Linked DNA regions of Lonchura striata. The protein of the gene in region 4 purifies or fractionates together with the protein of the main gene of each other region. This does not show direct contact. Links are inferred from orthologs where the notes say so. Each region holds a gene or a part of one and is shown on either strand. Other genes may lie near its edges.

Evidence for each region.
Region 1: the proteins of RNF111 (region 4) and SKI purify together in Homo sapiens (affinity purification with western blotting, with the first as the bait; 3 studies listed by BioGRID). This does not show direct contact. The link is inferred for Lonchura striata from reciprocal best matches to the Homo sapiens genes RNF111 and SKI.
Region 2: the proteins of RNF111 (region 4) and SKIL purify together in Homo sapiens (affinity purification with western blotting; 3 studies listed by BioGRID). This does not show direct contact. The link is inferred for Lonchura striata from reciprocal best matches to the Homo sapiens genes RNF111 and SKIL.
Region 3: the proteins of RNF111 (region 4) and SMAD2 purify together in Homo sapiens (affinity purification with western blotting, with the first as the bait; 3 studies listed by BioGRID). This does not show direct contact. The link is inferred for Lonchura striata from reciprocal best matches to the Homo sapiens genes RNF111 and SMAD2.

What each region holds. Positions count from the first base shown.
Region 1 is NC_134626.1:2,810,011-2,817,679, forward strand, and holds the start of SKI (ski oncogene), read left to right. Parts: upstream 1-4,659; 5' UTR 4,660-5,442; exon of another isoform or gene 5,443-5,557; 5' UTR 5,558-5,567; coding exon 5,568-6,479; intron 6,480-7,669. UniProt on the Homo sapiens protein: May play a role in terminal differentiation of skeletal muscle cells but not in the determination of cells to the myogenic lineage. Functions as a repressor of TGF-beta signaling.
Region 2 is NC_134612.1:23,035,774-23,042,770, forward strand, and holds the start of SKIL (ski-like protein), read right to left. Parts: upstream 3,013-6,997; 5' UTR 2,903-3,012; intron 2,002-2,902; 5' UTR 1,199-2,001; coding exon 92-1,198; intron 1-91. UniProt on the Homo sapiens protein: May have regulatory role in cell division or differentiation in response to extracellular signals.
Region 3 is NC_134642.1:2,223,386-2,230,229, reverse strand, and holds the start of SMAD2 (mothers against decapentaplegic homolog 2), read right to left. Parts: upstream 3,013-6,844; 5' UTR 2,885-3,012; intron 1-2,884. UniProt on the Homo sapiens protein: Receptor-regulated SMAD (R-SMAD) that is an intracellular signal transducer and transcriptional modulator activated by TGF-beta (transforming growth factor) and activin type 1 receptor kinases.
Region 4 is NC_134613.1:10,560,200-10,568,040, forward strand, and holds the start of RNF111 (E3 ubiquitin-protein ligase Arkadia), read right to left. Parts: upstream 3,007-7,841; 5' UTR 2,899-3,006; intron 2,787-2,898; exon of another isoform or gene 2,473-2,786; intron 1-2,472. UniProt on the Homo sapiens protein: E3 ubiquitin-protein ligase. Required for mesoderm patterning during embryonic development. Acts as an enhancer of the transcriptional responses of the SMAD2/SMAD3 effectors, which are activated downstream of BMP.

The DNA.
Region 1 (7,669 bases), on a different chromosome or scaffold from region 4:
AAAAACGAGGAAGTTTTGCTGTCTTGTTACTGCAGAAGTTGGAGCTTGGTTTCTGTCCCGTCATGGCTTTTGGTTTGGAAGCTGCCACTCCAATTGCTCACTGTCTGAGTATTGCAGATACAGAAACTGAGGCACAGAGAGACTGAGCAACTTGCCCAAGGCAACAGGAAATCTGTGGGAGATCTGGGAATAGACCCCAGATGTCCGGAGTTTTCTGTCTTAACCACAAGACCATCCTTCCTGTCTCTTTGGTAGTCCCCTCTGCTTCAGGAATTCCATTTCCAAATTCCACCCATAAACAATCTTTTGCACGATCCAGTGACTTACTTGCATTAAAAAGTCGTTTGGAAGAGAAAACGGCACCTCTCTTAAAATGAACTGCAGCTACTGCTTTCTGTCCTTTCTTTCTAGGGGATGAAGGAGAGGGAGTGAAAAAAAAAGAAAAGCAACCCAGCTTCCAGAGCTGAGAAGCATTTCCATTGCTATCCAAACTTCCTGCAGGCATTAGTTTGGTTCTTTAAAAGAATCAGGAACTCCAGATGTGATGTTTGAGTTTATCTGGCCATTTGTATTTTAGTGGATTATAAAAAGGCCTGAAATTGCACTAAATGCATCTTGGGAGTGATCCTGCTGCTGGTCCCCATTGTATCCGAGTGTCTCTGGTGACAGTCTGGTCAACTGCCACAGCCCTGGGGGAATTCACTGTGTGTCTGGTGCTTCTCCCCTGTCACACAGTCAGAGCTTCTCTAAGAGGAGACTGAATGCTGGGAGGGGTTTTCATTTCTACCAAAGCACACCCTTCAGTTTGGAAATGGTGGAATGGGTGGATGTCCCTCATATTATCGAAAGAAGACTATAATTTAAAAATTATTCTTAATTAAAACCTTTTAGATTATCCTGTTACCCAGTGGGGAATATTTCTAGCCCTGCTTTCTCTTAATGTGGTAACTTGTTTAGCATCAGGAATCAACAAGGGCTGTATGGCCTAGATTGTTAAATCCCATCTTTAGACCTTGGTATTGTGGTAATATCTAAAAATCCCACTCATGGATCACCAAATCCTCATGTGATGGATTCTATAAACAGAAACTTCAAGGGTCCTTCTTGCTTCCAGTGGCTTCCTATTAAAACAATTTGGTGGAGATTCTCCAAGGGTCTTCTCTGAGCACATGAAGACACAGCTGCTGGCCTGGATCAACGTGTTTGGTTCCTGCCTCTTCTGAAGCCATTTAGCACTTTGAGGCTTGATGTCCAAGTTGGGTACGTGAGAGTGGGTTCCTCTCTGAGGAAATGCTGACTTAGGGGCAAGGTCAAAGCTCTTACACAACTCTTACACACCTTTCCCCTTTATTCTGAACAAGATTTCAGAATAGAAAAGTAGAAATAAAACACAAGAGCTTGGCGTGTGTCCTGCCCCATTACAATGAGTCTGAGTAAATCACAGCGGGTTTGTTTTCCAATTGCTCTTTTAAGCACTGTTTGGATATTTGTCTGTTTGCTCCTCCTCTTTTGTCCTGATGTGTTTTTTCTGCTGTTCCACTGCCATGAACTCTTCCAGAGGAGACTGTCCAAAATTCAATGTCTGTGTCTCTCAGTCACACTCTATGGATGAGCAGGGCTTAAAGTCTTTGTTGAATTTCAAACACGATTAACAGTTGTGCTGGTGTGTGAAAGTGCTCCTTAGCCCTTTTTGGCACACAGTTGACAGAGCTCTGAGATAACAGTGGAAACCTTTTCAGCTTGTTCCTTAATCGTGATGCTAAGATTGAAATGTTTGTTTGACTTCTGGGTGTGCAGTCCATAGAAAATGGGAGAATACACAGGATTTTTGCTTTGAAATTTGTTATTAATAAAAAGCAAAAGCATCTCACTCCTGACCTGAATAATAAATCCATAATGGAGTTTGCAGTGCTGCTGGGCAGTGGGTGCCCATGCCTAGTCATTTGGTGTCTGTGCTGTGGTCAGTTGGTGTCCATGCCCTGGGCATTGGATGTCCGTGCCATGGGCACTTGGTGTCCATGCCCTGGGTGTCTGTGCCATGGTTACTGTGTGCCCATGCTGTGGACAGTGAAGATCCATGCAATGGGGAGTGGGGATCTGTGCCATGGTCAGTGGTGTCCTTGCTATGGTCCGTGGTGAGTGATGTCCATGCCATGGTCAATGACTGTGCAATGGGCAGTGTATGTCCGTGCTATGGCCAGTGTGTGACCATGCTAGGGGCAGTGGATATGTCAGTGCCCCAAGCAGTAGGTGTCCATGCCATGGTCAATGACTGTGCCATGGTCAGTGACTGTCCGTGCCCTGGTCAGTGGTCAGTGACTGTCCATGCCCTGGTCAGTGACTGTCTGTGCCATGTGCTGTGTGTGTCCATGCCCTGGTCAGTGATTGTCTGTGCCATGTGCTTTGTATGTCCATGTCCTGGTCAGTGGTCTGTGACTGTCCTTGCCCTGCTCAGTGGTCAGTGACTGTCCATACCCTGCTCAGTGGTCAGTGGTGTCCGTGCCCTGATCAGTGGTCAGTGACTGTCCGTGCCCTGCTCAGTGGTCAGTGACTGTCCGTGCCCTGCTCAGTGGTCAGTGACTGTCCATACCCTGCTCAGTGGTCAGTGACTGTCCGTGCCCTGCTCAGTGGTCAGTGGTGCCCGTGCCCTGCTCAGTGGTCAGTGACTGTCCATACCCTGCTCAGTGGTCAGTGACTGTCCGTGCCCTGCTCAGTGGTCAGTGGTGCCCGTGCCCTGCTCAGTGGTCAGTGACTGTCCACACCCTGCTCAGTGGTCAGTTGGTGCCCGTGCCCTGCTCAGTGGTCAGTGGTGTCCGTGCCCTGCTCAGTGGTCAGTGGTGCCTGTGCTCTGCTCAGTGGTCAGTGGTGTCCGTGCCCTGCTCAGTGGTCAGTGACTGTCCGTGCCCTGCTCAGTGGTCAGTGGTGTCCGTGCCCTGCTCAGTGGTCAGTGGTGCCTGTGCTCTGCTCAGTGGTCAGTGACTGTCCATGCCCTGCTCAGTGGTCAGTGGTGCCCGTGCCCTGCTCAGTGGTCAGTGACTGTCCGTGCCCTGCTCAGTGGTCAGTGACTGTCCGTGCCCTGTCAGTGGTCAGTTGGTGCCCGTGCCCTGTCAGTGGTCAGTGACTGTCCATGCCCTGCTCAGTGGTCAGTGACTGTCCATACCCTGCTCAGTGGTCAGTGACTGTCCATACCCTGCTCAGTGGTCAGTGACTGTCCGTGCCCTGCTCAGTGGTCAGTGGTGTCCGTGCCCTGCTCAGTGGTCAGTGACTGTCCGTGCCCTGCTCAGTGGTCAGTGGTGTCCGTGCCCTGCTCAGTGGTCAGTGGTGCCTGTGCTCTGCTCAGTGGTCAGTGGTGCCCGTGCCCTGCTCAGTGGTCAGTGACTGTCCGTGCCCTGCTCAGTGGTCAGTGACTGTCCGTGCCCTGTCAGTGGTCAGTTGGTGCCCGTGCCCTGTCAGTGGTCAGTGACTGTCCGTGCCCTGCTCAGTGGTCAGTGGTGTCCGTGCCCTGCTCAGTGGTCAGTGGTGTCCGTGCCCTGCTCAGTGGTCAGTGGTGTCCGTGCCGCGGCCGCGGTTGCGCGGGGCGGTCGCGGTGATCTCTCATCGGTCGGTAGAGGGCGCCCGTCCCCGCTGTGCGGGGGGCGCTCGGTGCCCCGGACACTCCGGACACGCCGGACACACCGGACACACCGGACAGCCCCGGACACACCGGACAGCCCCGGACACACCGGACAGCCCCGGCCCCGCGGGTGGGAGCCCAGGAGCCGACCCGCCTGTGTGCCACCAGCGTGGTCTTAGTGCTGCCTCCGCCTTCCTGCTCCAGCGGGGGCTCGGACAGCCCCAGCCCCTTCCCACCCGCGCTGCGGTTGCGCCTCTCACGCCTCTTCCACGCGTTGAGCGTCGCCTGTGGGTGGAAGGAGCGTGTGACGTGTGCCGGGAGCGGGGAACACATGTGTGTCGGAGCAAGGGAGCATACGTGTGCCGGGACAGGGACGCACACGTGTGTCTCTCGCCTGTAGCGCTCAGTGGGTTGGGGGCTCCGGTGGCGCCCCGAGGATGCGCTCTGGTCCCGCGCGGTTGTCGCCCATCAGTTGCGCTCTCACGCCTGAGATTGCTGTCGGCGCGGGGCGTGTGCCCGCAGTTGACGCCGGGCAGGGCGCCGTGAGTGCCCGTGTGAGCCCGACCAGAGCCGCTCCCGCGCCTGTTCCGTTTCACGGCTGCCAGAAACGCAGCGGCGAGAGGGGAAAAGCCCTCGCCCTACCGCCCCTCCTCGGCGGCGCGGCGGTCCGTGAACCCAGCAGTTTATCCTCCGCCCGCTCCCTCCCTCCCTCGCCGGCGCTGCCGCCGGGGCCGCGCGCCCGCCCGCCCGTGCAGCGGCTCGGCCCGGTTCGGCCGAGCTCGGCACGGCTCGGCTCGGCTCGGCGCGGCACATCCCAGCTCGGCTCGGCTCGGCTCAGCACGGCACATCCCAGCTCGGTTCGGCTCGGCCGGGCTTCGATCAGCTCGGTTGTGCTCGGCGCGGCCGGGCTCGCTTGGAGTGGCTCGGCTTGGCCCGGCTCGGCTCGGCTCGGCTGATCCCGGCACATCCCGGCCGGTCTGGGCGCAGCGCGAAGCGGGAGGCGGGCGCTGTTCCTGGAAGAGCCCGGCCCGGGGAGTTGGTCACATTCTTGGCCGGGATTCAATGACTGAGGCAGACACCAACAAACACAGGGGGGAGGCGGAGGGCGGGCGGCTGAGCCCGCCTGCATTAGCTCAGCTCTCAGGCACTCTCAGTCACTGCTGGAAAGAGGAGCTGGGAGGATGTGCGCGCTCTCACCGCGGCTCCCCACGGCACAACGAGAGCACCGGCAGAAATAAGGGCAGGAAGGCGAACCGAGAGCCGAGGAGCCCTCCCAGGCCGAGCGGACGGACCACGAGGGGCAGCGGAGCCGCTCCTCGCCCGTGCGGAGCCGCCGCGCCGCTTCGGCAGTGCCGGAGATCTGGGCCTTTTCTCCTGCCTTGTTCCTTCCACAGACCGAGCGTGCTGCCTCCTCCTGCTTTTTACTTTCCTCCCCCGCGCCTTCCCTCGGTGGATATGGACAGAAGGGGGATCACTGCAGAGAAGCAGCAGCCGCCAGAACATATTTGAGCCCGGGTGCTCGGAGCGTGGCACAGACTTTTTGTGTTTCTGTGGGTGGTGTGTGTGTGTGTGTGTGTGTGAGTGAGTGTGTGTTGGAGGTGTGGGAGGAGGGATTGGTTTGCCTGGGGGTTGGCTGAGGGGGTGAGTGCTCGGATGAAGACCTCTTTTTGCCGTGATTCTGTGCTCCATCGGGGCAGCTTGGAGACTTGGAGGGTTTGAAATTGTAACGTGAAGCAAGAGAAGAGAAAGAAGAGAGAGACACGCATACAAAAGGATTTATTTCCTCTCCGTTAGTGGATTGCTGAGTGAGAAGGAGGAAAAACACAAGGGTGGGTTGTTTTATTTTGTTAATATTTTTTCCTAAAAAAAAAAAAAAATCCCTTAAGTGGATTTGCATCAGGGTGGAAGATAACTGGGGATTTTTGCTATTTGTTTTGGGAATAGAAACTAAAAAATGGAGACTGTAAGTAGAAGCAGCTTCCAGCCTCATCCAGGACTGCAGAAGACCTTGGAACAGTTTCATCTGAGCTCTATGAGCTCCCTGGGTGGCCCTGCTGCTTTCTCAGCACGATGGGCACAGGAGATGTACAAGAAAGACAATGGCAAAGACCCAGCGGAACCTGTACTGCATCTGCCCCCGATCCAGCCTCCTCCGGTCATGCCTGGTCCCTTCTTCATGCCCTCGGACAGATCCACGGAGAGGTGCGAGACCATCCTGGAAGGGGAAACCATCTCCTGCTTCGTGGTGGGCGGAGAGAAGCGGCTTTGCTTGCCCCAGATCCTGAACTCGGTGCTCAGGGACTTCTCCCTGCAGCAGATTAATTCGGTGTGTGATGAGCTACATATTTACTGCTCCAGATGCACTGCTGACCAGCTGGAAATCCTCAAAGTCATGGGCATCCTGCCCTTCTCCGCTCCTTCCTGCGGGCTCATCACGAAAACTGATGCTGAGAGGCTTTGTAACGCCTTGCTTTATGGTGGCACCTATCCTCCCCACTGCAAGAAGGAATTCTCTAGCACAATTGAGCTGGAGCTCACGGAGAAGAGCTTCAAGGTGTATCATGAGTGCTTTGGGAAGTGCAAGGGACTCCTGGTGCCAGAGCTTTACAGTAACCCCAGCGCAGCCTGCATCCAGTGCTTGGACTGCAGGCTCATGTACCCACCTCACAAATTTGTGGTCCATTCTCACAAATCGCTGGAAAACAGGACTTGCCACTGGGGCTTTGACTCTGCAAACTGGAGATCCTATATCCTCCTCAGCCAGGATTATACTGGGAAAGAGGAGAAAGCTAGACTGGGCCAGCTCTTAGATGAAATGAAAGAAAAATTTGACTATAACAACAAATACAAGAGGAAAGCCCCTCGGGTAAGTGGTGCCTGTGATTTTAAAGGGGGCGGGGGGAATTTCTGTAACATTCATCGATATACCCAAATTGTTACCAGCTGCTTTTCCTTGGAGTCATTTAGCAATTTTAATCGTGTTCTCCATTCTCTCCGCGTGTGTGTCACTGTGGAGGAGCAGTGCTCGAGATGGCACCTTTATTTCTCTGGTTGTTTTCTGACCACGGTGCTTGGAGTTTGTTTAAATTATGTGTGTGTGGTTGTATGTTTTACTATGTGTGGACCTTGATCTTTGAAGCCCATCACACTGCCCCAGACTTTATCTGGCATTGCGTGATTTCGGGTCTTTAAGGGCTTCTTCACTCAGGGGTCAAGGCAAGGAAGAAGCCAGAAAAAGGGAGCAGGTACTGATGCTCCAGACACAAGTCCATGCACTTTTCTGGTCGATTGAGTGTCGCCAGGGATGGAGGTGCGGGCTGAATGCTCTAAATGCTCGAATGGAAATAAAATGTGCCTGTTAAGAAAAAAAAATAAATTGTGCCGGTAGTGCAGGTTAGTGGTTTATAGATGAAGTGTTCAGAACGTGAATGGAGAAGTCCCTGCTTTTAGAGTATCCCTATGGAGCTTAGATTTGCCCAGCAGACAGGCTTTTGTATATTGGATTATGTATACATCCAGCAAATGCCTGTGTCTAGGGCCAGCTGCAGCAGCTCCTGAAGGTGTTCCATGCCGTGCTGTGCTGAGCCAGCCAGCCAAATCGCTTTTTTTTTTAGATGCCACTTGTTTTTATTTCAGTCTGAGCTGCCTTTAGATCCCAGAATCCCTGGTGTGTGGGTGGGAGGCTGCCTTGGCATCTGGCACCGGTCCTGCTCCATGGGCAGCAGTGCCACAAGGCCCTGGGGACTCGCAGACACCGGGATGTCTGGCTGGCTGGGGATGAGCAATTCTGCTTCCTGCTCCTTCCCCCCGGTGCGAGGGGAAAACAAACTCCTGCCTCCCCAGTTCTCCCCTGCAGGTTTGTTGGTTGGGCTCTGCCTCACTGTCAGAGATTTCCAAACTTTGGGGTTTTGTGTCTGGAGTGGAAGGGCAATACACAAGCCTGGAAAAGAAAAAGTGTTTAAAACCCACTATGAAAATTCTGAATTAATTTACCAAATACTTGTTTAAAGGGGCAGACACACACTCTGACTAAGATAGAGCTTTTATTTATAAAAA
Region 2 (6,997 bases), on a different chromosome or scaffold from region 4:
CCACTTAGAAAAGCCAAGTAATGCGCTTCTAAAACAAGTATTTATGTGCGAGCAGAAAGAGATCTGGGAATTTTACACCAGGTGAACTTACTTTGGACCGAGTTCTTTTCTGATTTTTCTCGCTGAATTTCTCCTTCATTTCCTCCAAGAGATGCTTCAGCTCTCTCTCTTCTGATGTGCCCAGGTATTTTTGGTTAATGTGCAGGTAGCAGTGCCACTTGGCCGACTCAAACCCCCAGTGGCAGGTCCTCTTGTCTGGGGATCTGTGTGAATGCATCACGAAGGTCTGGGGTGAGAACATCCCGTAGCATTCCAAGCACTGGATACACGGGTCATCCGGGGCAAGGTAGAACTGAGGTGCAAACAACCCCTGGCACTTGCCCAGGCATTCATGCTCTACTTCGAAGGCACTGCCAGTCTCTTTCAGCTGGGCCAAGGTGTTCTTACCAGGGAGGAAACCGCCACTTTGGGGGAAAGTGCGAGGGCGCAGTAAAGCATTGCATAGTCTCTGAGCGTCCGTCAGCGTAATGAGCCCACAGGACGGAGCATTGAACGGAAGAATTCCCAAAACCTTCAGAATGTGCAGCTGGTCTGAAGTGCACCTTGAGCAGTAGATATAGAGCTCATCACACACCGTGTTGATCTGCTGCAAGGAAAAGTCTCGGAGAACCGAATTCAATACTTGAGGCAGGCAAAGTCTTTTTTCTCCTCCGACTTTAAAACAAGAGATGGATTCCCCCTCCAGCAGGGTCTGCGTGAGCTCCGTGGAGCTGTCTGGAGGGATGAGCAGCGGACCAGAGAGGACTTGTGGTGATGGGAGAGGCAGGAAGACAGTGGGTGACATACTTTCCTGGGAATACCGAGCTGAGAAAGCCGCAGGTCCACCCAGTGAACTCTGGCTGCTTAGGTGGAACTGTGCCAACGTGTGTTTCAAACCTGGATTTAAACTCAAAGGCTCAGATAGTGAAGCACTGTTTGGCTTGGCGGTTTCCGCATCAGCCTCCACCGGAGCTTCATCATAGTCATCCAGGTTTTCCTTCTTTATTGTTGGCAATTTATTTATTACTACCTGTACTTTGTTATTTACATGCATTTCAGTCATTGCTTTTTTCAGTGGAGGACTCCCATCCTCTTGGATCCTGCTTCTTTTTTGGTCTGAAACCAGACCTAGAGGGAAGTTTATCTGTGGGCTTTCCATTGCTGAACACTGAGCTTTAATTAAGCCAGTCTTGAATGTGCATTTTCTTACTTTTTATATAAAAAATAGTTTCATGTGATCTTGGAGCTGCACGCTCCTTTCCCTAAAACATCTTCTTCAGCATTCAACAGTAAAAATTGTAACCCATTTTGTATGTAATTCTGTAAAACTACTAACGAAGGGGGTTACACTATTTTCTTAGCTATTTGTTAAATTTCATAATATAAAAACCCCAATGCAATATGTATACAAAAGGTTTTCTTCATACCCTAGCCACTACTTTACACAGTAGTCTTGTTCAGCAATTTAGTAAAAAACGATGCGTTGATGGGTGTTCATCCTCAATCGTTTTTTTTTCCTTTAAAAAATATACTGTCTTTTCAAATAAGTCTCTATTTAAATAATAAAATAGAAAAATGGGCTCAGTTAGAAGAATGTCAATCTCAACGAAACTGATCCAAAACGTAGTTTACGTTGTATGAAAATTTTATTCAGCACTTTTAGCTCCCAGAGATCAAACACAATCTTAAGGGCTTGCTTTATTGTGCTGCCAGCTTTATGATTTCACCACCACCACCGTGACAGCTATTATGGCAGTTCACAAATAAATCCTAAAATTAAAGGCTGATCCAGACCGACGGCAAAAACTAAACGTCCCTAGAGAGTCACCTTTCGCCCAGATGTCACTGGCGTGTGTCAGAATTTTCCCAGCCCAAGTTATTAGTAATAGAGGTGAGATCCAGGCCATGGGCTGGATGCATGTCGTGTGCTAGCACAGAGTTCTGCTCGTCCTTCCTGATAACCTGTGAAAGAGAGATGGCTGATCACAAGCAATCCCAGAGTTTGCTCTGTACCTAAAGGGGTAAAAAGGACTGGAGAGGGACTTTTGACACAGGTGAAAGTGTGACAGGAGTCAGCGGACGAGAGGGAATGGCTTTATACTGAGAGAGGGAAGGTTTTGATTTGATACAAGGAAGAAATTGTTCTCGGTGATAGCAGTGAGGTAGTGGCACAGGCTGCACAGAGAAGCTGCAGCTGCCCCATCCCTGGAAGTGTCCAAGGCCAGGTTGGACAGGGCTTGGAGCAGCCTGGGATAGTGGAAGTGTCCCTGCCCATGGCGGGGTGGGGGGGCTGGAAGGAGATGAGCTTTAAGGCCCCCTGCAGCCCAAACCACCGGGATTGCCTGCCAGAGGCAGGGTGCATTTCCCAGTAACTTGCGGAACACCGGGACAAGCCCCCGACCGATGAGCGATACCGGCGGGGGAGGGGGCGGTCCGGAGCGGCTCTGCCGGCGTGCACGCCCGAAAGGAACGGGCGCTCCGGCGAGCCGGGCACCGGCCCCCACATCCCGGGCACCGACCCCTCGCCCCGCGGCCCCTCCCGGGACGCCGCACGCCGCCGCTCCCTCCCGCGCCGTGACTCACCCCGGCCCCGCCGGCACCGCTCCGGGCTCAGCCCTTCCCCCTCCCGCCGCCGGGCTCGCCCCTCCGCCCTGCCCGGCTCCCCGCCGTCCCCGGCCGTACCGCGCCGCTCCGCCGCCCCCGTGTCCCTCCCCTCCTCCCAACGCCGGTACCCCGCTCCCCTTCTCCCCGCCGCCCCCGCGCCGCCGCTCCCTCCCATCCCCCGGCGGACGCTCCCGCCCTTCCCCCCAGGGCTCCGCCGCCGCGCTCCCCGCCGTTCCCAGCGAGCTCCCCGGCTGCTCACCCGGCGCCGCGGGGGCTCCGGCGGCCGCGGGGAGCGGAACAGGCGCCGCGCTCGCGCCGCCCACCCGTGACCTCACTGCGGAGACCGAGACGGCGGCGGCGGCGGCGGCGCGCGGGCACGAACCCGCCGGCGGCGCGCGCCGGCCCCGCCCACTGTCTGGGGCAGCGGCGGGAGCGCCCGCCCGCCCCTCCCCCGCCCGCCGCCGCCTCAGCGCCGGGAAACCCGGCCGGGCCTTCCCCCCGCTGCCGCCCGCGGGGAAGGCGCAGGAGGAGAAATAAAAATAAAACAGATCTTTGTGTAATAGACACTAAAAAGTGAATACGCATGGAAAAGTGTTGTTTCTGCCCGGCTTCCCCGCAGCCCGCCCGGTCAGAGCCTGCCCCGCGCCGCCCTGCCGCCGTTCCGCCGTCGGCGGCCGAGAGGGGCCGGCTGAGGGACGGGACGGAGCGGCAGCTGCAGCTGGGGCGGGGAAGGGAAGCGGCCATGGCAGCAGGGGAAAAGCCGGGCGCTGTCGGGGACCCGTCGGGCGTGTCGCCCGCCTGAGGCGCGGCGGCGGCCCCGGGCAGAGGCCGCCAGCGGGGGGATCTCCGTGACCGCCCCTTAGTGACTGCCCCGCAGCGAGGCGCCCGCAGAGGATCCCTCACTGACTGCCCCTCAAAAAGATGGTCCCTCAGTGAAAGCCCTCGAGTGACTGTCCCCCACGGAGCGTCCCTGGCAGGGGTCTCACAGTGCTGTCCCCAGCGAGGGTCCCCAGGAGGGCGGGCTGTGCTCGGGCGGGCAGGCGCGGGGAAGGCGGGCCCGTGTGAGGGGCCCCGAAGCCGTGGCACGGACCGCTCCCTCCAGCCACAGGCTCGCGGGAGATATTTTGGGAAACGAAGCGATCGAACCGCGGAGAGGCGGGGAAGATGCTCTTCAGGGACAGCTTAGTCGCTGTACAGCTCGTTCATGTATTACAAGTTTCTTCCGCCTGCAAGAGGCCCAAAGCTTTTCAGTTTACATCTTTGTGAAGACAGCGCTTCAGCTGGGATTACGGCGCGATCCAATTTGCCGTTTCCTTTCATCCCACACAGTTACATATTTTGATGCGAGTACAAAAGCACGGCACATGAAAATGGGGCAGCTGTACAAGCACCAGGCACCGCTTCGCACCGGCCGGCGGGATCCCTGATCCCTTCCGCGCCGTTCCCTAATGCCGTCCCAGGAGGATTATGGCACAGAACCTGCCCCGCTGATCTGCTGACAGAGGCGTTTGGTGCTCTTTAATCCTTGATTTCGCACCTTTGATATGCTCAGGTTTCCTCTGGGCTGGGCGGGGTCGCTGATGGAGAGGCCCTTGAGCATCACTTCAAAGCTGCTTCAGCAGTCACCTCTTTCTCAAACCACCGCATCGGTTGCGGTGTCTGCAACAATATCTACAATTTCGTTGGATCTGAGTGATCTTTAAGGCCTTTTCCAAGCCAAACCATCAGGGTTTTATAGAAAAGTAAACGTTTTTGCAAAGAATACTAACACCCACTACTTATTTATTAAGCAGATATAAGGTCTGTTTAAAAGCCACAACAATGTGGCAGAAATAAACAAGATTTCTGAATGCACCAGCTTTTGGAGCTGATTCTGAAAAGGTATGAACCTATGAGGGAATTGTATAGACATTCTAGACATTCCTGTCTGCTTCACCCTCTTGGACTTTATGACCTGATTGTTTTAAAAAAAGCCTCTTTGAATACCAATCAGTGAAATGCACTATGTCACAATCCCTTTCAAATTTACTGAAGAAAATGTAATGTCTAACATTGCAGCTGGATTGATCAATGTCTGTGAGGAAGGCAGCATATGTAGGCAGATATTTCATCTTTTATTAGACGTGCTGATGTCATGGAAGCTTAGGATCCAGTGGCATTGTGTAATTTGTTGATTTTTTTCAAGTTCTGCCGCAGAAATGTTCCATTTCAGGTTACAAAGCCTGGTAACTATTGTGCTGTAATGATAGTGTTGCTATAGAGCTACAATAATCAGGCGATGGAAGACAAAGTTTGTAGGTAGAGGATTGTCTAAAAAAAGGTGTTAGCTCTGCCTATTTCTACTGTGGACTGTGAAAAGCAGTTCTGAAGACACTGCATAACTAAAACCTGAGTTACAGACTTTTGCAAGTGGTAATAAAGTGCACTAATAGCACAGGAGGAATCTTGATTTGATTAATAAAGTGTCTGAATTTTAAAGAAATGCTGAGGCTCTGGGGAAGCTCACAAACTTCCCTGATGCACAGTCCCTGAAGATACACAATTTAACTATGAACTATGCCCTGGAGAGCACAATTTAACTGTGAACAAAGACCATGCATTTTCGTCTCTGATGAGATGATATCGTACTTTTTAAAGAAAAAAAATTAGTAGTCATGTTTAATAGTAAGTTGTAACAGTTCACACTTAGCTAATCTGTCATAGGAGGTTTCATTCTTGCAAAACAGATATTGTATTACAGGTTGTGTTTTAAGCAGAAAAAGTTGATAGATTTTGGCAGACACCACATCCTGCTGGACAAGTCACAGTGGGGACAGTGCACAAAACACTTCAGCTCATGAAGGACTTGAACTATTCCTCTGATCTAAGAGTATAAGCCCAGACACTTTACTCATCCTTAGAAATGAAACATGGACACAAGAGATTCCTGCTATTTATGCCTGGAAAAGCCACCTCCCACAAAAGCTGCACAGACCTGGGATGTAGACACTGCTCTGCTTTCAGTTATTGGTGATTAAATGGTAAGAATCCACCTTTCAAGTATTCAGTCCAGATCCCTTTATTATAAGCAGAAAAAAAAAATTAAAATAAACACATGGGGGATCTCTCTGCGAAAAAATGCAAGATATGGTAAAATCTGTTTTTTCTCAAAGGGGCTCCAACCCCTACCTTCTCTCTTCCCAGGAAAACATAATTCTGTGGTCAGTTGCAGATACCTCTGCTGCTTCAATGCCTTACACCATCCATGCTGAAGTGAGGACGCTTGCTTAGCACTTACCAAGTGTATGTATAGATTATCCAAGCTATCAGCTTCCTCCATAGAGTGCCTCAGCATAAACAATTGCTCAGACTGAGGCGAGAGCAGCTGGGCACCCAACAGAACAGAAACAGGGAGCGTGCGTGGGGGGAGGTTAAGCATGGAAGATATGCAGCCATCTGCAGCACTCGCCAGGATTGCCGAAGCACACCCGTGCTGAGGCAAGACAAAATCTCTTTTAAAAGATACTGAAATACAGAAATTAAACCACTGCATCTGTGCCATCACCCTCTGTGTCAGAAATCCCAGAATGCAGGGGAGGAGTTGAAGAAACAAAGAAATAAATCATGCAGAAGTAAGTGCAGCAGACAAGAGCGTTGCTCTGAACTCCAAATCCCAGCTCTGGCAGCTGAGATGATGTACGAACTCCAGCGCTGAAAGAGTCCTTGGATGAGCAGGCTAAAGTAACATTTTGTATTTTCCTTTAAGATTTCTATCTCTGTGCAGAGGATGGATGCCTCACTGCTTTGTCTCATCACTGGTGTTGGAAGGAAAGAACCTACAAGGATGGTGTTTTTCCAAAGGACTAGATGAGCATGAGGCTAGGGAATGATGCTGGAGCAGAACCTGCATTCTCAGACATGTTTGGTAAATGCAGGGTAAGAAAGGCATTTCTTGGGTTGCTGTGGCCCATCCCAGTGCAATTTTCTACAAGAAATGAAAAGATCAGAACAAGATTCCCATGGGATATGGACAGTTTAAAAGGGTTAGACGATGATCCCAAGACCAGCATTTCACAGTATTTCTCTGAGATTTCTCTGAGGTTGAATATAAATGTTTTATTTAACGTAAAAAGTGTGCACAAATAAAGGAAATGATTACACAACAACGTTCAAGACGATATTCCACATGAAACAGGAAAATAGTAGTGACAATATTAACTAGCAGAGCACCCATAGGAATCCAACTCGTGTACAAAAAAGAGGTTACTCCACATAAATACATCATGCTTCTGATGCAGACACGTTCTCCAAAAAACAAAAGCTACTGCACTGGACTGTTTACACCTAATGTCCCTTCTGAATATTTATGACAGTT
Region 3 (6,844 bases), on a different chromosome or scaffold from region 4:
AATCAGAGTAAAATGTGATCTGGAATGAAGGCTTACAGTTTGCAACGGAGTTTCTGTCACTGGAAATGGAGAGGAATGTTTAGGAAGGTTTTCTGCAGTAGCCAATTTCTTCTAGCCCAGAGAGTATTGAGCACAGGCTGCCTGTACTCTCCATTCTATTACAAAAACCTAATCCCATCGCATGACCTGCAGCAATTCATTTTAACAAATCAACAATTACAAATATTTTGGCAAAGTAAGCTTAGGTATTGTTTGCCTCTCGGCACAGTTCACAACCAGTTTATGGCTTTATGATAAAAGTCATTAAATCCAATCTGAAAAGCAGAATTTACAGCTCACTTAGCAAGTCAGGCCCATAAATGGATGCTTTCAATTACAGGACATTTACATGCACAACCATTAAGGCAGCACTGAATACATTTGAAAACTGTGGAATACTTTTTATAATAATTAAAACTTTGCGTACTGTTCTTTATACAAACAAAACTTAGGAATTTGCTTCAGCCTCAAGAGAGCTCAGATTCATTGTCACCCAGAACATACCACAAAGCCTGTTCTCCCAGTACTTTTGTGGGAAAGGGATTAGAGAGATGGAAACAAGGTTTGTTTTTTAAAGTTGCCCTCAGTAGCAGGCAGGGTTTTTTGAGCTCAAATAAACTCAATTGTATCAACTGGTGCTCAAGACTTCTGAAAGATCAAGTGGAACGGGAAGAGGGAGGAGGACCCAGGGAGAACCTTTCATTTGGAGATTCACTGTGTAATTCCAGGGTATTTGATTTTGGTGAATCTAGCTGCTGGGTGGAAGGAAACAAGAAAACAGCACAGAGACCAATTCTTTAACCTCATTTTTTCAATTGTCTGAGTTGTTTTCTTCCTTTCACTGTTAAACAGAACCTCAGGATAGCTGATGAATTCTTCTCCAAGGCTCTATCATGCATATCCAGCCTCTTCAGTAAAGAAAACTGGATCTTCAAACATACTCCTTTTGTTGACTGTGTATCTGACCCATACAACTGCAGAACAACAATCAGCTGCCAGGCTACTCTTTTCAACACCCCAATATGCTGTTCAACAGATGCTCAGACTCATCTTAAAGTGGAAACCACCTTAAACAAGACCCTCCCCTTCCACTTCTTAAAAGCATTTGTAACTAATGTTATCTTTCATCATGACAGTGCTAAGCAAAGGGGGGAAGGGACTTCACAAACACCTCCTTTACTCACACTCTCATCCCCCCCGAATTCGCCAGAGCTTGTAAACGTTAGAAGTTTGAAAGCTGTGCCTCAGAACGAGCACACAAACAACCCACTCACGCACCAACACCTCGACAAAGCATGAGAAAATCTAAACAAGCAACCTCGCTCTGCTGGCCTCTCACCTCAAGCAGAGGGTGTTTCTTTTCCAGCCTGGAGAACAGAGCAACAGCTAATCAGTGCCTCGCTGCAGAGGCCAGGCCCCACAGAAGTAATGTCATGAATCAGTTTGAAAGTACAGCTCTCCAGGCTAAGACACAACACTTGAGAAAAGACAAACCTGCTGCTACCTGCGGTCTCCTAACAAGCTGCTATTATAAACCTCTCGCTGCTGATGGAATCTAACCCGTTTATACCCCTGGACTGTGAGAGCATGAGCTCCACACACAATACACAAAGGTTTTTGGAGACACTCATTTTGGCAAACCCTGTAAATAAACTCTTTCCTAATGCTATCCCGCTCGCAAGCATTTGCAAAGAGCATAATACACGTGTTGGGTTTCTCTCAGTCAGAAACTGTGACGGACAACCAGAGAGACACAAGACCAGCCTGCAGCCTGAATCCCAGCTGCTCAACAGCTCTCCACAATCATCACAAGAGCTCTTCATTCATTCACACGCTTTTTTCCGTTCTTTTATTTCCCCAGAGTGAACACTAGAAGACCATGCTGTATTGCACTTCTCTTCCCCTCCACTCTGCACAAAACGAAAAAAAAAAAAAAAAAGAAAAAACCCCTACAAACAGGAACTCCACAACTCTGCAGCAACAACACCAACCACTTGCCCTTATCACGACACAGCTTCCTCAGTGCACTTATCGAGAGATGAGACATTACCAGGTTGTGTGTGTTTACAAACAACACCCAGGGATGGAGTTGCCACAGCTCCTCTGGGAACCTGTGTCAGCACCTCGCTGCCCTCTCAGGAATTTCTCCCCAGAACCCCACCTGCCTCTGCCCTCTGACAACACACAGCTTTAAAGGCAGGAATAAAACCAGTGATCTCAAGTCCTGTCTCACGTGGGCTGCTGTGTGTCTCTTACACCCGCGGCTCTGCAGACGAGGAGAGGGGACAGACAAAAGGGTGAGGTGAAGCCTCGCAGTCCCAAACACAAACTCCTAGCTCCAAAACACAACTCCTCGCCCCACACCGCTCCCAACTTTCTTCTCCAAAACTCCAGGGAGTGCCGCACACCTAACCCTGCCTGCATGTCCAGGAGGCACACAGGGGTGTCCTGTGCAGCGCTACGAGCTGGACGCGATGATCCTCGCGGGATGCCTTCCAGCTCGGCATATTCGGCGGACCCCTGCAAGGAAAACACACCGGGCACGACGGGAGGCAGCGGGGGAGAGAAGGAGCACAACTTCTTTATTCCTCCCTCCCCTCACCCACACACACACACAGACACACACACACAGCGCGGCCCTCCCAGCACAGCTCGGGGGCAATGCCGGCGGGAGCAGGATAACCTAGCCCGGGTCCCACCACAACAAAAAGGGCGAGGGCGTAGGGAGGCGCCCCCGGCCCCGCCGGGACCAGGCCCGGACGGTTCCTCACGGCCCGCGCAGCGCCAGCGGGGCGACCCTGCCCAGGGGGCAAGGACCCCGGGCCCGGCATCCACCAGCACGCACCGGGAGCCACCAGGATCCGCCGAGAGCCACCGCTCCTTGCCCTCCTTCTTCCTCCTCTCCCCTTCCTTATCCTCCTCCGTCTCCCCGAGTGCGGTGCGGCCGCCGCCTCTTCCCTCAGCGTTACCTCCTCTGAGGGCCCGCCCCCCGCAACGCCCCGCCCCCGCCGCTGGGCGGGGAGGCCGCCCATTGGCCGCATTTACCTTCTCTCTAAGCAGCCGCACTGTGATTGGTCCAGAGATCTAACTGGCAGTCAGGATCGCCAATGGAGTGCCCGCAACGTTAAAAAAAAAATAAGACAAGGGAAGGGGAGTGGGAGAAACAGGCGTGAGGCGGAGGGAGGCGGGCCGTGGCCGCAGCGCTGATTGGTTGGGTCGGCTGTCAGTCACGGCGCGCGCGCCCGCCGCGGGAGGCTGAGCGGAGGTTTGGCTGAGCCGCAGCAGCGCAGCCGCAGTGCGGCTCTGTCCCCGCTCCGTATCCTTCCGCGGCGGGCGCGACGGGAGCTGAGAAAGAGTGCGTGGATTCCCGGCGGGAATTGCCGCTGAGCTCCGGCTGGGCTCTGCAGCGGTGGGCAGTGACCCCTGGGCTGTCCCAGCCAGGGTGTGACACAGCCCCAGGGCAGTGCCCGTCCCTGTGCTGGCACTGCTGAGACACCTCCAGTGCTGGGGACAGCTCTGGCCCCTCAGGACAAGAGAGACACTGAGGGGCTGCAGCGTGTCCAGGGCAGGGAACGGAGCTGGGAAGGGACTGAGCCCCAGGAGCGGCTGAGGGAGCTGGGAAGGGGCTGAGCCTGGAGAAAAGGAGGCTCAGGGGGACCTTGTGGCTCTGCACAGCTCCTGACAGGAGGGGACAGCCATGGGGACAGCTCTGCTCCAGGAACAGGGACAGGAGGAGAGGGAATGGCTCAGGTGAAGTTGAGGTTGGATATTGGGAAAATTCCTTCATGGAAAGGGCTGTGCTGCCCTGGCACACCTGCCCAAGGCAATGATGGAGTCCCCATCCCTGCAGGGATTTAAAAGCCATTGGATGTGGCACTTGGGGACAGGGATCAGCAGTGGCCATGGCAGTGCTGGTGTCACAGCTGGACTCAGGTCTTGGTGGGCTTCTCCAGCCTAAACGATTTTGTGGTTCTAAATAGATTCCAACTGCCCACAGCCCCGCAATGGCACAAGAGCTCCAGGGTGGCTGTCCCCAGGTGTGACACGGACACAAGGCAGCCCCAAAGCCTGCCCAGCCTCCCTCTGCTGCCTGCCCCCCAAGCTCACAAACTCTTAACCCCCCCCATATGTTAGGGGGGTTTTTTTAGCTACTGCCTTCAAGAGTCTTTGCAATGCTTGGACCACTTGTGTTGAGGTAATGGTGAAAAGTAACCAAATTCCTGTGCCCCAGCAGGGGCCCAGGGTCACCATAAGGAAATCAGAGCCTGTTACCTGGCAGTGCATGTTTGGGGACCTGTCTGTGAAACCCATGGGGCTCTGTTGTGCCTTGCAGTGATGCCCAGCAGATTCCCTGGAGCTGTTCATCCTGGGAAAGACAAGTTTGTGGAGACCTCACAGAACCTTCCAGTATCCTAAAGGGCCCACCAGGAAGACAGAGAAGAACTCTCTGTCAGGAACTGCAATGACAGGACAAGGGGGAATGGGTAGAAATTAAAAGAGGGGATCTTTAGGCTAGATCTTAGAAAGAAATTCTTTGCTATGAGGGTGGAGGGACACTGGGACATGTTGTCCAAGGAGGTAATGGATTCTCCAACCCTGGAAGTGCTCAAAGCCAGGTTGGACGGGGCTTGGGGCAACCTGTCTAGTGGAAGGTGTTCCTACACATGGCAGTGGGGGTCACGACTAGAAGAACACTAAGGTTACTTCCAACCCCTTAACATTGTATGATTTTATGAGTGGGAAGCCACAAGGTGGGATTTTAATGGGGTTTTTTGGGGATGAGAAGGTCTGTTCCAGATTTGCTATAAGTCTGTTGGAGGTACTCTGTTTTTTTTGCTTTTGTCTTTTTGATACTTTAGTATATATCATCTATCTTCACTTCAAGCCACTTCCTTTACACCTGAGGTCACATCTCCCTAACTTTGTCTCTCCAGAGTCATGCTCATCTTCTAGACTGAAAAGGTTTCTGCACTCAGTGGTGTAGGTGTTATGATTCTGTGTCTAGGGCACAGGTCCCATCTCCACAAGGCTGGTATTCCCAGGAGCAAGGTGAATCACCTCAGAATATTTAGCCCTTCTACAGAATGTGGATTCACAGAAATCCCCCTCTTGCCTCTTCTGTGCCTGGATTCTCCCAGCTTGAAGCAAACGTGGCTTATTTTTTTGGTAGCATTTTCAGCCAGCCCCAAACGTTTGAGATTCAAGCTGGTCATGAAATCAACAGTGAAGTGGAGAAGATCCCCTCTGCAGAGAAAGCAGAGCATCTGAGAGCTTGCCATCATGTTTTTGGAAGATAAGGTGTCCCAGTAATGTTGTGCCTGGAAACATATACAGACTATTCAGCTAGCATTGCACTTGCTTTGTGGAGGTTTTGCTGCATTCAGAGAGATTTTTTTTTTTTATGAAGAGTAATTTAATTAAGCTCAATTTTCATATGGATTTGCGTCAGACATTCCCTTCACCTCTCCTCTGCAACAGATTCATAGCTCTCTCTCCTCCTATCTCCAAGGTTGATTCCTGATACATCCAAGCCTCCCTACTACACAACTTATTGGTGTTTGCCTTCTTTCTGGAGCAGCACATGCTGTACCTGGTTCAGGGATGTGTGTGCTCTGGCTGGCCAGCTGCCTGCCCCTTATCTACTGCCAAGGAAGCCAAGCAGTGCTGATAAGGGCTGAGCTCTCCCTGCCTTTCTCCCCAGCAGAGCACTTAACAACATGTGTCTTCTCTAATATAGCTGCTGTTTGCCATGAAGCTTGACAGGCTTTGTGTTTCCAGAAGCTCTACTTCTCTTTCAGGTGTGGTTGAAATCAGTCAAAAGGTTGGCCAGCTTATGCTGGGGGATTCTGACATACACACACACACAAAAATCCAACATTTGCATAAACCTTTCTCTAGGAAATAAAATTGCAAGCAGCAGCAGGAAGACAGCCAATGGAAGAAGGCAGCATCACGGCTTTAAATCCCAGAGCCCAGAAGTTGCTTCAGAAGCAGGGTGGCTGTGGAGAAGGCAGGCAGGCAGGATGTGCGTATGCTCTAGAAAGAGCTCCTAGCTGTATGCCTACACCTCCAGGAAGAGCATTGATTTAGATTGGGAATTAGAAAGATTGGGTTTTTTTTGATGAGGGTGATGAAACACTGGCACAGATTGGCCAGAGAGCTGGTGGATGCTGCATCCCTGGGAACACTCAAGGTCAGGTTTGACAGGGGTTTCAGACACCTGATCTCATTGAAGATATCCCTGTCTTTGGCAGGGGAGTTAGACTGGACGACCTTTAAAAGTCTCATCCAAATCCAAACCCAAACTATTTTATAATTCCATGAAATAATACTTGATTTAGTAAAACAAATAGCAAAACTCCATCACTGACACCAAAGCTGGATATTGTTATGTCTTATTAATTAATCACAGAATTCTAGAGTGGTTTCGGTTGGAAGGCTGGAAGACTGGAAGGCTGGAAGTTCATCTCATTCCACTCCCCTGTCATGGGTAGGGACACTTTCCACTATCCCAGGTTCCTCCAAGCCCTGTCCAGCCTGGCCTTGGATACTCCCAGGGATCCAGGGGTAGTCACAGCTTCTCTGGGCAACCTGTGCCAGGATCTCACCCTGAAGGCAAGAATTTCTTCCTAAAATCTTTCTTAAGTCTTTCCATTTTGTAGTTTAAAACCATTTCCACTTGCCCTTTCACTGTCTTCTGTGTAAAAAGTTGCTCTCTGTCTTTTTATAAGCCCTCAGTGAGGTCTCCCTGGAGCCTTCCCTTCTCCAGGTGAGCATCCCCAGCTCTCCCAGGCTTGGTCCAGAG
Region 4 (7,841 bases):
TTATTTAAAAAATTGTTTCTTAGTCCCATTTTTGACCTTTGAGGTATGTGTAATTCTTCTTGATGTAGTGCATTTTGCAAACACTTCTCAATAAAGCTTTGAGGAACAAAGTTAAACATGATCTTTGCCACAGCTGCTAGTAAGAACCTTTCAAGTGAGAATTGTGAAATTAACCATTAGGGCAGTTTTATGCTGTTTTTCAGGAAACCTATGGGAAGAAGGAGATTTTATAGATACTAAACTGATCTACCAGTTTCAGGGGAAAGGACACTGCAGCAGACTTCTCCACTCTGCACCCAGCAGAGACAAAAGTAAACATTTTACTTAACAGCAGTCAAATATTAGGATTAAACTATATTGGGGAAAAAAAAAAAAAAAAAAAAAGAGATTGCCCTTACTGGCCTCTTGCTAGTAAAGCCATGAACCAGCCTTCTCAGATTTCACTTGGTGAACACTTAGTAAGGAAGATATAATTTTAATTTAGAGCAATTCCTTTTCCAAATAGCATAAACTATATAAAACAACAAAATAATACTATTTTGTCACTAGATCTGTAGTGGTTTGGCTCTTTGTATGTCAGTAAGGTTGAAAAGAGATTTATTAACATGCATATTGAGTAATATCGTATTGGATACATGTACAAGGTAAGGATAGGATAGCTGCTCAAAGTTGAAGTCTCCTGAGTTTTGTCAGTGTAGCCACTTTCAAAGTTTACAGTGCTCTTGTAAGAAACAAAATGTATCTACAACTGAAGTCTTAACTAGTGAACTTTTTTCAACGTTAAGTACAGATTGGTGGGGGTTTTTTTGTGGGCTCAGGTCAGGCCTAGCAGAGAACCCTAATGGGGCAGAGGGAAAGGCAGAAAAGAAAATGTTTCTTTTACCAAGCCAAACTTCTGCTGACAACTCACTTAAAGGAGATTGCACATCAGGAAAGCCATGAGGAACCCTTTATACAACATGTGCCTATGGCAAATCTAGCTCTCTGTACAATCCCCATTGTTTACCTGTGAATTAAATCATCATGTTCCCCATCCCATCATCACACTCCCCCCTCAATTTTTCCCTATTTATTCAACTGCTTGACATGCAAGCCTCTATAATACATCAGCTATGGAGGAGGGAACTATCACCTCTATCTTTTTTGAAAAGACTGTCCTCACCATTAGAAGAAATACAAAAAACTGAAATGAAAGATTGGACACCTTGGGAAAAAAAGGCAGCAACTGCTGTCATCTAAATGTTACTGCAACACAGTAACTCCAGTGAAAATCAACTGCTATAACTGATCTGGTTATGTAGGTCAACAATGTCACTAATTCAAATATAAACTGTGAGTCACAGTTGTGTTAAGATACATTTTTAATACATTTTTACAAAAGCCATTGCTTCATAAAGGCTATATTCCTGAAAGGTCAGAATGCTCTCATCCATGTTTTGAAAGCACATTCAAAATATGCATGAATGCTGTGAGCTGTTGCTCATCCTCAAGCTTCCAATACCAGACAATCTCATCTGTAGCTGCCAGGGCTTCAACCATCAATAAAAAACAGATTTTTACATATGTGAGACTTCAAGACTTTAAAATAGGAAGCTTGGTGCCTTGTGCACTATTATTTAATTAAAGTGAACCATAAAATGTTCCTACAGCCTTTCCTACCTTATGAATTCCAGAGGTGATTCTATACTGTGGATGAGTACACAGGACAGGTGACCAGATGTTTGCTCTATCAAATAAACCAAGATCACTTCTTTCCCTATCAATCCTTGCACATCAGCAAGCATCATCCTAACAGGGTTTGCTTCTGTTCCCTCCCTGCCCCAAGACAGTTCCTTTATCCAAAAAAATTAAGTGCAAAAACACTTAAATTGCTTAAATAGTTCTGACAGCAAGAACTATGGATATGTGACCAACAAGATGTAATTTCTGGTTTTAAAACTGGCAAAGCATTGTAACTATTTAAATATTAGTCTTCCTGAAAAAGCTTTCTACTAAGTATGCAGCACTTATATACCTTTGGAATTTTCTGCAAGTTACAACAAAGACAAGGTAAGACCTTATACTGCACCTGAAAACACAGCTTTCCTTTAATAGTTTATAATACAGATACCATGACAAACCCAGGTCTACAACAATTAACAGTCAATTCTTATATTTTTGTTCAAACCTTTGTTTCTGAAATCATTGCATTAGAATCAAATTATTCTAATTACAGCAAACTCTTACCTCCTGCATTACATCCTCTTCTGGAGAAGTACTTGGGTATCAGGAATTAAGGGTCTCATTTAATCAGCTAAAGCAACCAGGCCTTGCTTATGATTTAATGAAATAATTTCAAGCCATGGAAGAGCTTAGTCTAACAACATGAAAATTCCATGAATGCATGCTCAGCCCTAACCAGAGAAACACAGACACTTTGAAAAGTACATACCCTTAACACCTGCCCATTGCAACAGTGACAAGCCTACGTACCTCTGAAGATCCCGGCCTACATTTCTGAATGAACGTTACTTCCTTGTTCATCAGGCAAAAAAAACCACCTGAAAATTGTGATTTTTTTTTTTTTAAACATGGGTTAAGAGAACACTAACTTCGCAAACAAAACAAATGACGTCATAACAGACCCTATTACGCACAGAAATAGAAACTCATTTCCCTAAGGGGAAAATTTGTGACAAATTTGTGACAGAACCCCAGAGAGTGCTGCGGCTGCCCGCAGTGAAGGCACTGCTTTGTGCGTCAACGAGGCGCTGAATAAAAAAGGAAAAACACATTCTGCGTGAAGTTCCCCCCCGCCGCACAGCCCCGCCGCTCGCCGCTGCCGTCAGTGCCGGGCGGGGAAGCGGGGCCGCCCCGCCGGCCGCGGCCCCACCCGCGGGTCCCCGCCGCCCCCCGTACCTGAGACAGCGAGGCCGCGGGGGAAGGGGCGGGTGCCGCCGGCGCCCTGCGCAGGGCCGAGCGGTAGAAGCGGCCCCGGTGGGCGCCGCAGTGACCCCGCGGCGCTGCCCGGCGCGCCGGGAGAGGCCGCAGCGTGCCGGCTGTGGCGGTGCGGCCGCTGCCGCGCTCCGGTCCCGGTGCGGCCGCGGCGCCGGGCGGGCCCCGCTCTGTTGTGGCGCAGCCCCCGCCGCTCCCTGCCCAGCGCCGCGCGACACTCGGCGCTGCTTTACAGCCGCCCGCAAAGCGCAGCCGCGCCGCCGCGCGCCCCGCCTCCCGCCGCGCCCCCTGCCGGCCGGCGGCGCCGCCACAGCGCGGGTCCGGACCGCGCGGGGCAGGGCGGGCTCGGGAGGGCAGCGGACACGTCGGGATGGGCTCCTGAGGGCAGCGGGCACGTCGGGATGGGCTCGGGAGGGCACCGAGCACGTCGGGATGGGCTCCTGAGGGCACCGAGCACGTCGGGATGGGCTCGGGAGGGCAGCGGGAACGTCGGGATGGGCTCCTGAGGGCAGCGGGCACGTCGGGATGGGCTCCCGGACCGGCGGCACGGCCCGGGCTGCCGTCGCTGCTGCTGCCTTTAGGCGGTTGTGTGTAAATCTGTAAAGCGGTGGTGTCAGAGCACAGGGCGGGCTCTGCTCGGCGGTGCCGAGGAATGGGACACGAGGCAATGGCAGAAACACGCCCAGAACGTCCCAGCCGGCCTGAGGAAGAACCTGGCGGTGCAGCGAGCGCCCGGGAGCGGGAGCACGCTGTCCAGCGCCGGGGGCTCTGGGAGCCGGCTCGAGCAGCGGGGCAGCCCCTGCGGCCGCTCCAGCCTGCCCCTCTGCGATGTCCCTTCTAGCACCTGTCCAGAACCATTCCTTTTCTTCCCAGCGCTGTCTCCCTTGGCACCGCAGTACCTCGCGGCTGCCCGTCCTGCAGCCAGTGACAGTTGCGGCTGCGAAGACACGCCGGCAAATCCCAACTCTCCATCCCAGCTCGTTAGAAATAGGAGTTTATTTGTCTTTACTGCACAGAGTCGGGATGAGGTGAGCCTTTCCCCGCTGCATTCCTATGTGCACACAAACGGTGAGGACCTGTCCCGACAGCGGCCGTGTGTGACACGGACAGCACAGCAAACACGAGGCTTTGGGAAGGCTCTCAGACAGCAGCAAGCCTCAGCGTCTGCTGACTTTGCAACTGCCAGAGGCCAGGATACCTCTGCCAGAGATGACCTTTCATCAATGTCAGGGTACACATTCCAGCTCCAGATTGAAACACTGCATAGACAGGGGTCCTATACTGTCCGTGACCAGCAGCTACACAAACCCGAGGCTTTGGAGCAGACAGGTACAGTCTGGTCTACAAATAGTTAGAGATTTTACTCAGAAGGCACTGCACCAGAGAGTCATCAATACACAGCAGATCCTACGTGTTTTGGAGGAGCTAAACAACCTGCATGCATCATTACAAAAGAAGTGGTCACTGGGGAAAAATGCATGTTATTTCATTAAATAATTGCATGAGTTTCTGAACAGAATTTCCTTAAAGCAAAAGTGGATAAAACAACATGGAAATTAGACTCTACTTCAATATATATCCAAAAGTGTACAAAATGCAAAAAGGATCACAGGTTATTTCATGTGGTTCCATGAGCAGAGCAACAATTAATTTCAGTTTGCAATAAAGACAATAACACAGGTTTTCCAACATTAATTGTCTACCTTTCTCTACATATTTCTCGTGGTGTTGGGTAGTTTTCTTTTTTTAAAGTCATATATATGACTTTAAAAAAGTAAACACAGACACCGAGCCACAGATGAAATAACCAGTGAAACTGGGGAGAATGTGAAGACAGCAACAGACAGTGGGAGGAAGGTCCTATCATTCCATGGGGGTCACCAGTGGCTTGACTGTGTAAGCAATTTTAATATTTTTCCATTAAGCACTAGATCCAAAGTTGGAATACTTTACTAAAAATCAGCTGGGAAAAAACCAATCAAGACAATATATGGGAAGAAGTAAATGACCCTGAGGACTAATAGAAGCAAAGTGAAAAAAACATCAAATACAAAGAATGTGCACTTGAATGTTAATGACCAAAAGTTTTGGGTATTTATCAGGTAAAAGGCAGCTGGATGCGAAGTTCAATTACCAATGTAATTAAGTAAATGACCATCAGTCAACAACATTTTGTAGACATGAAAAAGCAAATATATCTCTATAATAATTTTGTTTAAATAATTTTAAGAGAGAGAGGTCTCAGTGCTATTGCAAATATTATTCCTAATGTAGTCTTGCAGCTTTTTTAAAATATGTATCCAAGGAAGATTAACTCTAATCTTAGTGGGACACTCAAGAAAACAGTATAGATTGTATGAGAGGAAGCTAATAAAATTTGGCTGGATTGCTTTAAGAAATGAGACACAGGAGCATTGTGAATAAGCTGATGAGAGACTATACCAATAAAAAACCTTACCAACTAGTTACGTATTTACCCATTTACGTAATAATTGGTTTGAACTCTTGTGTCAAAGGTGACAGAAGGGTAGTTCTTGGTAGAGAAAATGTAGAGTCACTCTCTGCTCACCAACTGAAAGATATACAAAAGATCATTTCAAAAACAAAAATCATGGATAAAGTTTTCAGTTCACAAATTAAAATGCAAATATAGTCAGTCTTGATTTTGTCCCAGTGAGAAGTCACAGTGGCCAAATGATCTGTAAATGTTCAAACTGGGTACAAATCTGTGGACCTTTCTGTAATATAAAGGCAGAATTTCTAGGATCTTTATTGGCTAAGATTTCCTAACACTTATTTCAATATGGACCACCAGCTGACAAGAATCTAGTAATTTGTGGGCCAGTCACCCTTTAATAAACTCTTGATAAAAATTAGTTTGTCCATTATTGACTGGTTATTAGCGTCTTTTTTAAAGAAAGGTGATGTAGAAAATACTTAAGTGCCCAGAATTATTCACTATTAAAACAAAACCAACCTTCTATCTATGCCCTTTCATGGAAGTTTTTTCTGCCATTATCTTCGTATCTTGCAGAGACAGTTGTCTTGAAATTAGATTACTGATTCCTTGGAACAAACCAAAACGTTCTCCTTCTCACACTTTTTAGGTACAGAAAACCAAAAGATTAAATTGAATAAGTCTAAATCACTAATGCAAATTTCAGAATGGCTTTCAGGCTATGATGTCATCAGTTCATACTGAACTCCTCAACTTCTTCTAACTACAGCTGAACAAAACCATTTATATGTACACCCCAGGGCCTGGCAGAACTAAAGACACGGAGAAGAAATTATCTTATCCAAGATCAAAACATGCCAGCCAGCAGAAGATTGCACTTTACATTTTTGGCAAAAAGACTAAAAAGAGTAACCCAGTTATCCTGAGGTGCCTTCAGCAGCTTGTCTACTTGGCTGGACACAGCTCATGCAGGGCTGCTGGAGCAGTTTGCTGGCCCAGAATGGAACAAGGCACAGCTTTTTCCAGGGGTGAGCAGCAGCTTCTGCAACAGCCCCGTGGGCCGAGCTGCACAGCCTCCCAGAGAGCTGGCTCTGCTCTGGGCCGGGCTGGATGAAGCCTGCTCGTGGCCAGGACAGCATGGAAGGGGTCTACCTCTAAAACTGTGACAGCATGGAAGGTGTCCACCTCTAAACCTGCGCCCATAGCCAGGAGTGTGGATCTGTCACACGCACACTGCTGGTGGAGCTGTCACTTGCAGCCAGGGCCATCCTTGCCGTTTACGGACCATACTCAAGCATATATTTAAATGCTTGCATGAGTTAAGGCAACTTACAATTACTAGTAATAGTAATAAAATGTAAAGTTGTAGTATGTTGTGAGGACGATACAGAAAACCAGATAATACAGAAACATTTCTGTGTTAGATCAAAAAAACTCTGGGATTGATACTTGGATGATAAACAGTCACAGCTCTAGTTAGCCCAGATGAAGATCTTAACCATGAATATTGGAGAAATAGGGAAAAGATAAAAAGTCCTGAAATATTTATATTATGATAAATTTCTACTAGGAAACAAGAAAAGAATGATCATTTGCAGAATCAAAAATAAAACTTGATGGTTGTCTGTGCTATATATTTTCTGATGGAAATTTTTGAATGCAATTAAAGAGTTTTCAAAAGCTCTGGAAAATAACATGCACCACTCAGGTAATTTATAGTAATTTATATTTTTATGATATATGGGAAAACAAAATACCCTGCATTACAGTATAATGTTGATATGGAACTGACCTACCAGTCACTCATTTGATTTCATGTTGTACAGCCAGATAAGGCTCTGTAAGGTTAGAAACAGCATTTTCACAACACATGACTTAAAAATTATGCAAACTCCTACTAAGGTCTCACAGTATCTTTCTGAGATTATCTGATAGCTTAAGTATTTAAGTTGCCATATAATTAAGAAGGTGTGGTGTATATAATTACTTGGAAATAGCTAGTTTGTTGACAGTATTTTTAATAGTTCTTTTTCTTATTCAAAAACAAATATGTCACCAAGTTCTTAGTAGAAAGATCATGAGATGTTCCTATTTATTCTTTCAGTCCTTGCACAATAATGGGGCCAAATATATTTTTGTGTTTTAATGATGCATCAGTGGCTATTTTTAGAGCAATTAGGTTTAAAACAAACAAAAGCATCCTGCATTAAATGATCTGACTTTGCACTAAGAAATTCAATAGCCATTTCCTAGCATGTACATATGGTTTCAGTGGTAAAATAGAAGATATTTGTGTTTGATTTACAATTGGATTTATGTTCTTTTCCTTGCTGTTCTCTAGAAGCAATTAAGAGATCAGAAATTCATTTTTACAACCTCCTCTGACTGCTCATTGTGCAGTACATCAATAATACGTCAAAAAGAAAACTATACATTCAGAGTAGAAAAA